2 linked regions of the Neodiprion lecontei genome follow. The protein of the gene in region 1 purifies or fractionates together with the protein of each later gene. This does not show direct contact. Links are inferred from orthologs where the notes say so. Each region holds a gene or a part of one and is shown in the gene's direction. Other genes may lie near its edges.

Region 1 (8,311 bases):
AATCCGGATTGTAATTTCATTTTCCATTATGCATTTCGAGCTGGACGCCGGCCAACGCTCTGAACACTGTCAGAAAATTCACTGTGTTGATAAAGGTACACGCCGATTAGTGCGAAATTAAATATCATCGGTGTGAATCGTTCGATTCTTTACACAAAGTGCTCTTAAAATGGTGTGGACTTCTATAGAATATCTTCGGTGTTACATTTAACACTGCATTTATAGTAGCGAATGGTCGGAACCCCGGATGTTTCTGGACTCAACTGACGTAATCTGCTTTACAGCGAATTTTCAGTGACCGCGGCGTTGAATCGTCCCGAATTTTGTTCCTTCGATTATTTGATAATTCTTAGTCCGGATTTTGACTTTTAGCCGTCAAAAGCTGGCTCACCCAAAAGGGGACAAATTTTTCAACTATTAAGTTATTTTTCATTATACGTAAATTCCGCAAGCTTTTTCGTGATGTAGATAATCTCTAAAATTCTGCTGGCGTCGTATAGAAATTTCGATTGAAAAGCAAACAGGTTTAGGTATTTGTATTATCGCTCGTCAAAATGCCCTTTACCATATTTATCGCTTGATTCGCTTCAAGCAGTTAAATTCATTTTAACCTTAATTAAGATTGTAACTTTCCACTTATCAGTTAAAATTTCAAAAAATTTCTTAAAAAATACGCTCCTCTGTAAAGTTATTCATGAGAAATCAAGCGAGAATCACAAAACACTGCACCAACATTTCAACAAAGGTGAGGGATTTTTTCACGCGAAATTAAAATTTATTTCTGACACAATTACTCTGCAGGAATGGTAAAGTGAGTCTAAAAAATGAGAACGTATCGAATTTTTTTTTCATTCAAATCTGGTATAATTGATGATTGTAGCCTTAATCGCTTTTGGCAGTAGCAATACTTACAACTCTTTATAGGGAATTGTTCATAAATTTGCGAATCAAGAGTGAATGAAATTTTTGAATTTTCAGACAAATTTTTACGCACGGTAACAGGACTTAATCTACTAGCAAATTCCAATCAAGATGTTTGGAAATCAATTTCGCCTGTACACAGGCAACCGTCGCTACTATTATTTAAGTCAAAGTTTTATCCAGAATTTCCTCAATATATACCCGTTAATTATGCAGATACATTGATCCGTGTGTCAAAGATTTAATGCGTCCAGAGGCAGGATGTAAAAAAAGAGATGCCACTGCATAGGTATAAGATATTCTGGTAAATACGTGAAAAGCCAAACTCACCGAAGCTGGATCCTTGGATACGGTAAAACGTACATGCAGCAAAGTGGAACGGCTCAAGGTAGATTCAACCTCAGCCTCCAGGCTCCAGATTTTCCCGTACAGAAACAACCGGGAAGCACGAAGATGGAAATTTCTGGAAATACGTATACACTTAGGGGGAGATGTGGGCAAAATGGGTATTAGCGAGAAAAATGGGTCCTTGTACAATCAAATGGGATTTCAAAAATATCGACAACGTTTAAAATATTATTTTAGGCCGAAGACAAGAAAATTGCGTCGTCGAAATTGGTCTAACGTTATTCCTTTCTTAAGGGGCCTATTTGTCGAGCCTCTTCCCTACATATTACTAATTGGACCATGTTTTACAACTCAATATATAGCCTATATTACTCGGGCAGACCTAAGAAACAATTTGGTTCAAGCCCCATGTAAACCGGTTCACTGATTCTTGACTGTATCGGTAACAAAGTGATAAATAGACAAAGGATTTTCTACATTTTAGTATAGATACACCGCATAACCGCCGGATATATGGGTATTTCAGGTACATATAGCAGTGATTTTGTATAAACAAGCGACGGGGTAAGAATGTGAAATTGATGCGAACATAACAAATAGAGCTCGAGTTCAATCATACCTGAATAACGCACTGCCACCCACTAAGCAGGCACTTCCTATTCTCCCACAGATTTGATCCACCATCCTCGAGCCAGCGGGTAAAACTATTTCGAATAATTGATGCTGCAAGATGCTCGATTACGTGACGATTCGCTTTAATTCTTCTCCCTGAAACGCGAACAGCATCGTTCGATGATAATAATATACGCAGTTCAGTCGAGTGTTATTACTGCGCGTTCGAATGTTTGTTTTTGTTTTCAGCTCACTTCGCTCAATTCTTATGGGCTGGCAAAAACTCATATGCCTCTTAATTAGATAAACAGCTACTCATATATATGTCTTTTAGAGAAGTTTTATACACACTTACTCAGTTATTCCATTTATGCGAGCACGTTGAGTCTCCCGTGTCATTTTGTTGCTTGGATTGCTTTTTCGCAGCCGAATTGAAAAGATGAAAGCCTCTCTGACGATCCCTGATACCCGAAAGACCGAAAATTCTAGCATCAAACAATTGAGCATCGGAATCATTATACCACGATTGATCGAGAGATTAACGAGCTTCTTCCGCGACGAATAAACCAGACTGTTATTGACACTTGAATAGAAACACCCTCGTGCACGGTAGTATTTAATCAAAAACATCTCACGACCTGACGAGATATACATTCATATTCGACGGCGCCGTTTCCTTGCGGCAAATGTAGTTCGAGTAATCGTAAATAATTCGAGGTGACACCGTTTGTTGGCTTCAACTGTGGCGCTACCGTGCGGCGGAAATCGAAACTTTTAAACGAAGGAGTGTGAAGCGAGCCAACGACGCTTGTTTCTGATTAGTTGAATTTCAAACGGTCAAACTCAAAACTAGGCGGTTGTATCTTGTATAGTGTAAGAGTTCGGAGATCGTCAACAACGCGTGCGAGCTATGTCAATCGGTATTTACAACGATATATTAAAACTGGTGCGTTTTACAGCGGTTAAGTGAATTTGGTGGACGCAGGGTGAGTTTTTACCATTATTTTCTCGTCTTGTGTCTCGGACCAACGATGCCTAAAACTACAGACTCACAGCCGGCAGCGAGTCCGATTCAGTCAGTTTTTAACATCCTTCGTTTTCTCCTTTTTTAGATCAAATTGGTACTTGGCCACTGCAATTTGGTAGCCTCACGCTGTCGAAATGACAACTTCACTGTCGATATTGGCCTCTCACGATGAGCTGGTACGTTGTACCAATGTACTCGTCAACGGATCGTGCGAAGAAGGTTAGCTCACTTGATCGACGCCTCGTTTACCCAAAGAAATTACCCCCCACGATCATACATTCGGAATAAATTTTTACGTCACTTTATTCTGAGACGAACATTCTTTTCTCACTAACAGAGAGCCACGAATAATTCATCAGCGGAGTCTGTGCTCTAGTTACTCTTGCAGCAACATCTGATATCTTCAGAGATAGCTGCTTCCCGTATACCCTTATCTCTCATTCAGCCCTTCATTCTTTTAACCCAGTCGAAGTTTAGAAAGTTTCAACTGTGCTCAGAATCTAAGAGAAAGTCTATGCTTGTATGAGAAAGGTATCGATCTTTCAATGTTTCAGAATTTCTGCGCTTTGCTATCAACCAGGAAGAGATGCGACAAAAATGGTTGGCATCTGTACAGGAATGCCAGCGACTTCATTCTGCTTTGGAAAAATCTCATTTAGAGTCGGCAGATCTAGAAAGAAAATTAAGTCATGCTCGTCGACTTCTTGACGAGGAAAAACGACGACGACGTATCGTTGAAGATCAACGTAACTCGTTGGTAATAATAAATTCAACAACTAGTTGTGAACAAAATACCTGAACATGTATAAGTATCTATTAAATGATGAAAATTCGATATAATTGCCAAATATTCTATTTACACAGGAACGACAAATATCCATGGTTCGTGACTTGTTCCTACACGATGGAGGTAGAAACCTGAATGATGAAACACGTGAAAAGTTGCAATTTCTCAATAATACAACATTAAATAATCGCAGCAGCAACGTTCATCTAAAAGACTTGCATCACGCTGATAAGTAAGAGTCTAAATTGCATCGTTAGGAAAGTCAGAAGACTTTCAAAAGTCTCTGTCTTAATTTTAACCCATCGTTACTTTTTTTTCTAGGCTTAATACAATAGCAGAATTGGATTCTACCGGGTCTCTGCTTAGCGATCTGAGTTGTTTTTCAAAATCGGAGGACGACTTGGACGCGAGTGTCATGCTCCAGCAAAATCAAAAGAAACGGGAATGGAAAGAGCACAGACCAAGCGGGGAATATTCAACCAAGAAAAGGCGCAGCAGCATTCAGAAAGCTGTAGACTTGAATACATCAGATCGGATAGTAGCGACAACTACTGTTGTTCTGCCCAAGGATGGACCCATCACGGCGTCTTCTGTGATTGAAGCAAAGCCTGGGAATGAAAATGAAGATCCAAATACTCAAATAAAACAGAGCCCCCACAAATATCGCACAAGTGCTGACCGCTCCAGACAAAAAAGTTCACACATGGATGCAAAAAATCCATTGATGGACGTGGAGGTGGGTCCTTTTTTCTTAATTTTAGGAGTTGAATGAAATAGGATGGTGAAAGTAGAAAGTGGATTCAGCAAACACTTCTAGTCATTGAATAAAATCCGTGTATATATGTTTGCATACAGCCTTCAGCTCCAAAAGCCGACATCATGACTTCCGGTTCAGATTCCGAAGGTGTATTTAAGCCCAGCCCTAATATCGGTGGATATACTTTGAACATTAAATCGTCCAGGGGTCACACTTTCACGGCAAAGACTGTTATCAAGCCAGAAGTATGCACTCCTTGTGGCAAACGGTGAGGGAACGATGTTTTGTGGTACAATTTTTGATTATCTATTACGAAGTGTGGTCGGCAATTTGATTCAACTACAACTTTATCATTGCAGTATTCGATTCGGACGCGTAGCTTTGAAATGCAGAGAGTGCAGAGCTACTTCTCACGCCGAATGTAAAGACCTAGTACCATTACCGTGCGTACCTGCAGGAAATACTCCGACTTTGCGTGGTATTTCTGTAAGTTGTGAACAACATTTAGTTTTTCAATTCAAAAAAAATATGAAATCCATTCAAGGTGAGCAATTTTTGCTTTCCTAGGGTACAATTGCAGATTATACCCCCATGATACCACCCATGGTGCCGTCGCTGGTGGTACACTGCATAAATGAGGTCGAACTGAGGGGAATGGGCGAACAAGGTTTATACAGGGTGAATGGCGGTTCGAGCGACGTTAAATGCTTGAAGGACAAATTTTTGAAAGGAAAGGGTGCACCCAACCTTTCCGACATTGATATACCGACTATTTGTTCAACTTTGAAAGATTTCTTGAGGTACATTTGTCGGATTATGAAAAAGATTAAACCACAACAAATAACTTTATCAATTCCTTGAGCAATGCAGGGTATTTTACTCACAATTTTTCTTTCATCTTAATTCAGAACTCTTCGCGAACCTTTGATCACAGTTGGACTATGGGCAGATTTTGCAAGAGCGACGGCCATTTCTGATAAACAGGATGCTGATGCTGCTCTTTACCAAGCGATATCGGAATTACCGCAACCGAATCGCGATACATTAGCATTCTTGATTCTCCATTTGCAGCGAGTGTCGAGCAGTCCAGAATGCAAAATGCCGATCACTAATCTTGCCAAAGTATTCGGACCAACTCTTGTCGGTTATAGCTGCCAGGAACCATCTCCAAACTCAATGCTAAGTGAAACTAAAAGCCAAGTTGCAGTAAGTATCTTTCATTGGATTCAAAATATCCTCAGAATATTTTAGAGTAATAATACTTGCGTTCTTTTGCAGATAGTGGAAAGTCTGTTGAAGATTCCGTCAGATTATTGGGCAAATTTTGTCAACTCCGAAGGTCTAAACGGAGTGGGAACACCGAAAACTGGGGAACTTAGACACACTCCGTCTACAGAGTCACTTTTAAAACGAACAGCATCTAGGGGATTTTTCAATACTCCTATCAGTTCAAGGTATTCTACAATCAATATATAAAAAATATTCAACTACTGATCGTTACATTCACAGATTAAATACTATAAATCCATAATTTATTTCCAGCCGAACGTTCATGAGAAAAAACAAAAAATACTTTGCGACACCACCATCAAAAAGCGGGTACTAAAACGGTGAATGGCTTTACAATTCTTTTTTTCATCCTCTTTTTATAAATTACAGGTGTAATAGTTAGCCTAGAATAACCGTATATTTAAATTTTTTTCCAGCAGAATTTTACTCACATAACAGGTACTTTTTAATTTGATAATATTTTTCAATTCTGCATCCATTCATCTGAAGCTTCTTTGATCTTTTGCTTTGTAGCTAGTAAATCTTACGAATACTTAGAATTAAAATATCAAATAATGACATATTTTGTCAAAGCTATAAGCTAAATGAAATGCCTTCTTTGAGCTGCATGCGGCTCGTTTTTGGCATAATTAAAATTGGATAATTACTTTTGATAATATGAGCTTACATATCGGCGCTAGTTTCTCATGAGGACTAAAATCCGTTTCATAGTGTTGGAATGATAATTATTTTTCAATTACAAATTTAATCAGTGTACAATTTAGCTCTATTTTTTTTCTGTTCAACTTTACGCATAAGTATTATAACACAAGTGATCAGATCACTATTGATGACAGCGTGTAAATTAAAAATCCACTAATCACAATGTAATTTTTTTTCTCCATACAAATTATCTGGACCTGTCGAAAGAAATACTTATTTATTTTTCAATACAAAATGTCTAATAAAATGGATAACTTTGTAGTTAATATTAATATTAATTAATGTATTACTTTAGACGTTACAAATAAAAGATTTAAACCTGACTTTCTTATATTGTTAATATTATTCTTAATATTCTGTAAATTTCACTTTTGTACAGTAACGGCAAGAATAGGAATTTCAGGCTGTATAGGCCCACTTAAAACTACCACGATTAATCCAACTTTTTTTCATATGTATTTCTTAGTTGCTCATTGAATCATTTTAAACTGAGCAAACCAGCACTCGTATAGTATTTTGAAATGTACAATAAATTCCCGAAAACAGATAGCGAGGCCATTGAATTTCAGAACACTGGGATGTGCTTAATTACTCGGTTCGGGAACACGTTTTCTCTTTGAGTTCCCAGCATGACTCCCAGTACTGTCTTAATCTGTTGTCCGCATTCGAACAAAAGTTTCTAAAATCTTGAATAATTTTTTTTTGAAACAACTCATCCCCGGTCGCTGATGTTGATAACGATTTCCACTTGCGACTGACCATATGATTCCATGACCACAAAAAGCCAACCTGAATAAAAAAATACGAACAGTTGATATCAATTCATATAGAAAATATTTACATTAAGTATATATACCGACCCTCCTGTCCATACTGTAGTCATCTTTATTCTTCCCACTGACATGCCTTGTAATATATGCTTCGTGCGGACTAGATTGATCAGGATGGACTGGATATCGTTTCTGGCCCGTTATCCGTCTGATTATATTCGTATCCGTTCGTGGTCTGGCTCGAATACAAGATGTCGACGGTACGAGAATAAATGCATTGCCAGTAACGTGGACGTATTGATGATCATTTTCAGTGCCCTCCACCAGACACGGTACAAAACCGAACCTTTGCACTATGGCTTCTTGGAAGAGGAACAACCGTTGAGTGTAGGTGTCTTCCCGAAACTCTGTTGCAAACACATTGAAAGTGAAACATCAGATAGCTATTGTTATACAACAAAATTTGATACCACGTGTTCAAATTTCAACAAACCATCGAATAGATACGGTTTGTTGGTCATCAAACATTCCGTGTGTAGAGGTATGAAGATTGGGCCCCGAAGAGGATCACTTTTCAGAGTGAAAGGTAGCGCAAGCAAATCACTGGGTATCGGAACCATTTGTATTCCACACAATTGCGCCTTTCGTTGCCACCCGAATATCTGAATGATTCAAAACCGAAAAGATGACCATTGATTAATCGCACCGACGTCTCTTTTACTTTCAATAATTAAATTGGATAACTTACAAGGTCAGCAACTATACTCCCCGAGGATGCGACCCACTGGACAACCAATTCGTAAGAATAGTCCGTCTTGAATAATGACTGATATCTGAGGTGTCCCCATTCTATTCTATCGCTTTTATTGTTTATGTCTATATCAAGATGAGTGTGCTTGTAAGGAGAAACTGGCGCTAAGCAAAAACATAAAGAAAAAAATTCTAAATTATTTAGTTTTCAAATTGACGAATTCTTTCTGTAAGATATATAGGGATACGTCCATAACGTAAGCTATTGTAGCGTCAATGCTCACCAGTCCGTTCACGATCCTCCGTCACGAATACAAGATCCGAGTCGTCACGCAGAAAAACAGGAA
Region 2 (6,510 bases), on another chromosome or scaffold:
GATAGGTTCGCAACGCGATCTGGTCCTGTGCAGTTTGAAAAGGACGAGGAAGATCCGTTCGGTCTTGATCAGTTCTTGACCCAAGCTAAACGCGCCAGTAGCAGTACAACTACTACAACAAAACGCAAGGATGACCGAGATCAACGAAGGGACGATCGCGACAAACGCAGAAAACACTAATCTGATCGGCTTCAATTATGTAATTTTATTACGCATTACGCGTGCTTTTTTGTACCCATACAAGAGAGCAAAATTCAATCTTTTCACATGGATAAATTGTAATTTACGATCTAGAGTACCAATTGCTGTCCTCATTACTGTACGCATTCTTATTACATAATAGTAATAATGTTAAATATACTACTTGGAAATATTTCATTGTGTCTCTTTACAATCTAGGACCAACGTCGAATTTCTTCCAATGTGATTACGATACTCCAGCTCTCTTTTGATTTGTACGAAACAACAATCTGAAACAATCTCGCAACAGTGGAACCCCCTCGAGGGAGTATCAGCTATTTCTATTGGTTGAAGAGCGTTCAGACGCTCCAAGCAGCGAATCAAATCATCGAAGAGGATAGTTGTCGACGTCGCCGACGAGGGCCAGTTTTCCGGTTGGTATTTTTTATTCGGAACGCGGACGGACGTCAAGCCGTGGAATTTCGTGAGGACCGAGGGACGCCGAGGCAGGGACGGAGACGCCATATTCACTTGTCAACGGACGTCAATCAGCGATCGAGGAAAAGGAACGGAGGAGGAAATCTCGGGGATAAAATAGTCTCGCGGTCAAGTAAAATCCTGCGAAGTAATCGAGGGCGTATTAAAACACGGCTGTTTCACGCCGCGCATGAATTTTGAGATAAATCTGGAGAGTTATGGCGTCGGAGGAGATGAAGCTACGGAAACGAGAGGAGTACGAGATGCAGCTCTTTGGCTTTCACTCCCGGGCTGCGTACGATGGCAGTAAGAGGACAACGTCACTTCCATCAATTCCTTTGTCAATGCTTTCAGGCTTTATCGGCCTTATCCCGGAACGAATCGATGTTGCAGTCGTCGGGCGAATGTGCTCTGGTTTCATGTGGATTTAAATCATGACTAGAGTCACACTCGTCCAACAATTGTGACGCTATCAACGCGCGTCATCACGCCAAACGAAAATCCTGCCTTTATTCCCACGTTTCGCGTATCAACCGCCAACTGAAACCCTATTTCTCATCTGTATTTCCATTCTGATTGCGATCCGTTCAGTCTCCTCGCCAGTTTCTTTTTCTAATCTGTTATACTTTTTCGACAACTTGTTTCTACTCATGTTCCGTTTCACGTACGGCAGATAACGTCAGGCTCTTATGCGACCTTTCAAGTCTGTTTTTACTGTTATTATCAGCGCGATCTAAATCTTTCACATTCCTATGCTTGTCAGGCTCGCTTCTACGTGTTGAAACATTGGCATTGTAATCGTTTCAGTAAAGAATATAATAAAGGAAGAGGTACGGTCGGTCTGTCAGAATCTGAGCAAATCCATTGAAAGTAAATATAAACTGGGCAGTGAGGAGCTTTCTGTTCTCAGAACAGAGGCTAAGGATTTGGTTCAGACTTATGAAAACAGAGCTGAATCTCACATGGAATCATTGAATGTAATTATTCCTCTACAGTGTCTTTAGTTTCATCTTCTAAGAAATTTAACAAACGTTAAAAATCCAGGTCATCTTGGTCTTAGATTATCGCCACCTCTTCATCCGCGATTGTTGACAATTGTACTGTGAACCTGACATTGTTTTGCAGAACATTGTACGACAATTCATTGCAATTCCTGACAACGTTTTATTAGACGAGGATAAAGGTCAAGCTGTTCAGGTCAGCGAAGATGAATTCGAAGAACTGAAGACCAAGATGGACAATCTCCAAAAGAGAGCCGAAGGGGTCAGAATAAATTTCATGAAAATGTTTCCATGTAAAATACCACTTGGAAAACCTATACTCGTTATAAATTTAAATTGTACCCTTTGTTTCATTTAATCGAGGGTGATTTTTGATAGGTCACAATGTTCAACGCCGCTTTACGCCAAGAACTCGAACTTCAAAAAAGATTCAAGGCCTGCGAGGACGCGATAAACAATGCGAGCAGGGAGATTAAAGATAACACCGTTGTACCAAATTTGGATGACCAAATAACAGAATTCATCCAGCAATCGGAAAAACTTAGAATGCAGCTACCAATTCCTGAATCTCAATGCGAAAGGCACAAATACAATCCACCCTTGGAAAATCTTAAAGATTTTGATCTCGTATACCGTGAAACTTTAATTAATACTGCCAATGAATAGAGCAATCTTACTAAGATGTTATTTGTGGCCTATCAAAGTCTAGAAGAATCTTGAGCATATATGTATGTCTAGTTATATTTTTTTATACACAATTAGGTCATTAGATTTTTTTCAATAAAACTATCTGTTAAATCCTGGTTAATTTCATTTCCGAGTTAGCGAGTTGTCGCATGAAAAACATAAACTTAAACTTTGCGCTATCTTGATTATGCTACGCAAAGGTTGTTGCAACAGATAATCTATCAGCTGAGTTCGAACCTCTTGCAGTTTCAAGTTAAAAAATAATCGTAGTCCTTCAAAGAAACAGTTTCATTTGAATTTCTGTGTTACATTGGAATCATTTATTGAGATCTAAACTTGCTTGCATTATTCTGATTCTCGATCGTCAGAATTATCGATTGTATTAATACTCTACGATTTGTTTCCAATTATTATTGCTTTTGTCAGAATAGTTACCCATATTTAATTCAAGTCTTAACGTTATCGAGTTGATCCATCTACTATCCATTTGAGACTTCCCCGAATTTTTGTTCTCTTCGTTGTTTTCCTTTGAGCTATTATAAGATACACGAAATAATTTTATTTCTACGTATTCAGTACAAACTAATGTATAAAGTCACATCTTTTAGCCATGCCATATTGTTCACAACTCATCATCAACATGTCTGTTTACCAACGTTAAATATTAAATGATTAAATACACATGTTGATGCTCGATTGTTTCTAGAACGTTCGATTGGATTAGCAGATAATACCATTTGAAAATCATGTATTATCGAGTCGTCGAGTTCAGTCTATTTCTAATTTCACCGAATCGAGGGATTTCCGATGTCGTGAATTTGTTCAATGGTGGGGATGGCATGTAACATAAAACGGGGTCCATTGGAGATTAGAAAAGCTCGACAGCAGCTTTGCACAGTGTGCTTATTCGACAGTCGTCAGTTCCGACAGCGGACACGGAATTTTGTACTTTCCTCGCATGAACTTAAACCGATTGATTTATTAACATTTCTCCTAAAAGTTCCGTTTAAATCAAACGGCCAGTGCCAATGGAAACCGATTTGTTACAGAATCTGCAAGACGTTGGGTATGTGGGCAAGTTTTATAGGTTACACCAGTTACCGGCTGATGCAAAGCATTGCCGATTACTAACTTCACATGTGCAATATTTTAGGCTACTTTTTTGAGTAAGGAAACAAAGCTACTGAGTTTCCTCAGAAAATCAGCCTAATATGTTCGAAGTTATGAGGATGTTCAATATTATAAAAAAATTATTGGATAATCATATAGCCGAAAAAGATACCCAAACTTGAAGCTCCGAATTAAAGTAACGTTCACAATGTTATTTGTAAGATAATCAGCAAGTTTGTAAAGAGGATTTTGAACTCGCGTAAAAGATCTACTTAAATTTTGTGCTTGATTCCGCAGGTATAGCGGGGCTCTATCTGACGCGAATGAGTTGTCCAAAGCTTTGAAAGACGGCCCAAAGTCAGTGGAGTTCACTAAGCTGGTGGCGTGGCTGGCAGAAGAATTGTCTGCATTTGGAGAGGTGGATGACTCCGTAAACGCTATAACCACGCCAGAAGATTCGAGCCATTTTCTGCTCGAATTAAGTTCATTTCTCAAGGAATTAGGATGCGCGAATCAAAACCTCATTGGCGGTACTGTGAATCAGAGACTGAGTACAAAGTACGACAGACTCGTTTTACTAGATTATCTGGTAACCGAGCTGATGACCAGCAAGATATTAGGATCATTTAAATCTGACGCGGATCAACAGATGGAAGTAACAATTGTAAGTGTTGTAATTGTTATCAATGTCTAGTTGAATCTATCGATAGTGAATTCTGCTCCGTCTTAATTGGATAACTGTCATGTTGCCATTCTTTATTTTTACTTTCAGAACGAAAGCGACACAGCCAGACATCTCAAAAACATGTTGTTGGCATTGAAGTTTCAAAAACCTCCAGATAACATAAGCGCACAAATGCTGTTCACAAAACTAACTACTAAGTTGAAGGAAGTTGTGGCTCAGGCTCCCCCTGATCTACTCGATACGCCTTTATTTGTGGGCGAGCTATCGAACGACCAATGGGAACGGCTGAATGAACTCCAAGAAGAATTCAAGAACGAGTATAAAACCAGAAGGGAAATGTTACTCAAAAGATTGGATGTCACGGTGCAATCTTTTTTGGTAAAGCATTAAATAACGTCTCACAAAATTCTAGTAAATTTGATGAAATTATCTTATTTTGGAATAAACTAATAACAATCTTAATTTTACAGTGGTCAGAGAATATAAGGTCAAAGGAAGATCAGGTCAACGCATCCTACCAACAAAAACGGAATATCATGTCTCCCGAGCCAAGTGTTTGTATTGCTGATTTACTTGCCGCAAGACGAGATTTAGCCATAGTTGAAAAGACCAGCAATGCTACTGTACGAAAAAATACCAGGAGCCAAGTCAACCAAGTCATTATTGGGGCAGTGCCAGATCGTGGAGGAAGACCTTGCGACCAGCAACCACCTCCACCCGAAATGCCATCTTGGCAAAAAGACCGCGTTGCTGGGCCGAATTCGTCCAGGTAAAACGCGATCTCACAGTATTTTTGTTCATGGATTGGGGTTCTGTGACTTCGTGATACTTGTTTAAGCACATCAATTGAATATCGTTTCAAAATATTTTTCAGAGGAGGCAGAGGCGGAGGTGGCGGTGGCGGTGGCGGTGGATATCGGGACCACAAAGATGCTTCGAAAAATTTTGGCCAAAACCAAGACAGGTTTCAATCGCAGCAGCAATATCAGCAACAGCAACCACAGTATGAAAGTCGTGGTGATTACCGTGGTCATAATCAAGGAGGTGGAGAGTATCACAGAGGCGGTGGAAGAGGTAGAGTGCAAGGAGGATGGGGCGGAGACCGAGGTACAAGTGGCTATCAACGAGGGAATTCTAATCGCGGAAGAGGTCGAGGTGGACAGCACTATTAAGACAGTTGCGAGAAAAAAAAAAACGGCAACGTCTAAAATAGATGTTATAACGTGCCAGATTAAAATTCGAGTTAAACTTAAATCGTTAAATTTATATTTTGCTATTTCGTGAGATCTCTTTTGTTAATTTTATTTAGTTTGCGGTTCTTTATGTTTGATCAGACGCCTCATGGTTGTTAAGGTTGGTTCTTTACAGGTGCAAAGCTTGTATCAATTTTTTTGTGCTGCATTTCATCCTGATTCATAGTGAATTTGTTCATCACGTTTGCTCGAAATCGCGTTTTGTAATATGCTTACGGTTTCAACAACATACGGCACATAGCGTTTTGGAATTACCACTGAGTGAATCCTATGTTGGTTTTGAGGCATCGAATGAGATTTGGTTTTGGAAATGGGAATGGTGTTTTCAAGCATTTAGAATCTTTATAAATAGAGACAGCACAGTTCCCGCGCAGCTTCAGAGAGAGTAAATGGTACAGAATCGCTGTCTCATGAATCCTGTAAACCCCGCAAAGTAAGACTTCGTGAGATTGTTAATGCATTACCTTCATCTCTGTATTTCATCACACAATATTTTATTTCCCATTTAACCTGAACCAAAATATTCACATGGAATCATTAAAAAATATCGTTGATCATTCCTTCGGCAGCTGTGTTAAAAAGTATTTTGTGGTCAACCCAAGTTAAGAAATATCAGTTAATCGGTACTTTGCTCTGAAATTTGAGGTCCACTCTGCACTTATTTTGAGGCATATTTGGACGCCAGAGTTTGACTCTAAGTAAAAGTGGATTGAACCTCTGTTTGCAGTAAAGATCTGATCCAAGATCATTTAGGATAAGAATGTATTTATTAACATAATTGTTATTTATTTCAATTACCTTATAAAGCAGCTCTGTAATGTATATCGCGATTAACGTAATATATGTATAACTGTGCATTCCTAAAAGAGGTTTCAGATTCTTTTCTCCCGCTACATGGCACCATACAAATTATTCATTTGGTATTAAAAATATTTTAAAACTACACATATTTACATCCAATTCTGGCGAGTCTTTCTCACGTAAAAAACGCGGCTATACTTTTAGACCGCTTTTCTGACTCTCGCGTTTCGGGTTTGTTACGTTTTCTCTTCACAGATGGTTTGCCATTCAACTTATCATTTTCTGGAGTAGCTACCGTGGGCCGAGCAACAGACTT

Evidence for each region. The genes of interacting proteins can lie anywhere in the genome.
Region 2: the proteins of rac GTPase-activating protein 1 (region 1) and protein FAM98A purify together in Homo sapiens (co-immunoprecipitation; 3 studies listed by BioGRID and IntAct, with this or other methods). This does not show direct contact. The link is inferred for Neodiprion lecontei from reciprocal best matches to the Homo sapiens genes RACGAP1 and FAM98A.

Annotation. Positions count from the first base shown.
Region 1 is NC_060263.1:5,501,117-5,509,427, forward strand, and holds rac GTPase-activating protein 1, read left to right. Parts: upstream 1-2,686; 5' UTR 2,687-2,867; intron 2,868-2,993; 5' UTR 2,994-3,042; coding exon 3,043-3,127; intron 3,128-3,462; coding exon 3,463-3,665; intron 3,666-3,772; coding exon 3,773-3,927; intron 3,928-4,016; coding exon 4,017-4,431; intron 4,432-4,550; coding exon 4,551-4,720; intron 4,721-4,811; coding exon 4,812-4,938; intron 4,939-5,019; coding exon 5,020-5,252; intron 5,253-5,360; coding exon 5,361-5,658; intron 5,659-5,730; coding exon 5,731-5,906; intron 5,907-5,994; coding exon 5,995-6,058; 3' UTR 6,059-6,062; exon of another isoform or gene 6,063-6,161; 3' UTR 6,162-6,998; downstream 6,999-8,311. Other genes in the region: GATOR complex protein Iml1, read right to left, coding at 7,033-7,233, 7,305-7,621, 7,708-7,876, 7,963-8,129, 8,249-8,311.
Region 2 is NC_060266.1:24,791,908-24,798,417, forward strand, and holds protein FAM98A, read left to right. Parts: upstream 1-3,135; 5' UTR 3,136-3,373; coding exon 3,374-3,411; intron 3,412-3,752; coding exon 3,753-4,119; intron 4,120-4,227; coding exon 4,228-4,518; intron 4,519-4,610; coding exon 4,611-4,909; intron 4,910-5,014; coding exon 5,015-5,312; 3' UTR 5,313-5,363; downstream 5,364-6,510. Other genes in the region: puff-specific protein Bx42, read left to right, coding at 1-180; protein MIS12 homolog, read left to right, coding at 876-963, 1,465-1,634, 1,783-1,920, 2,037-2,324; DNApol-eta, read right to left, coding at 6,370-6,510. UniProt on the Homo sapiens protein: Positively stimulates PRMT1-induced protein arginine methylation. Involved in skeletal homeostasis. Positively regulates lysosome peripheral distribution and ruffled border formation in osteoclasts.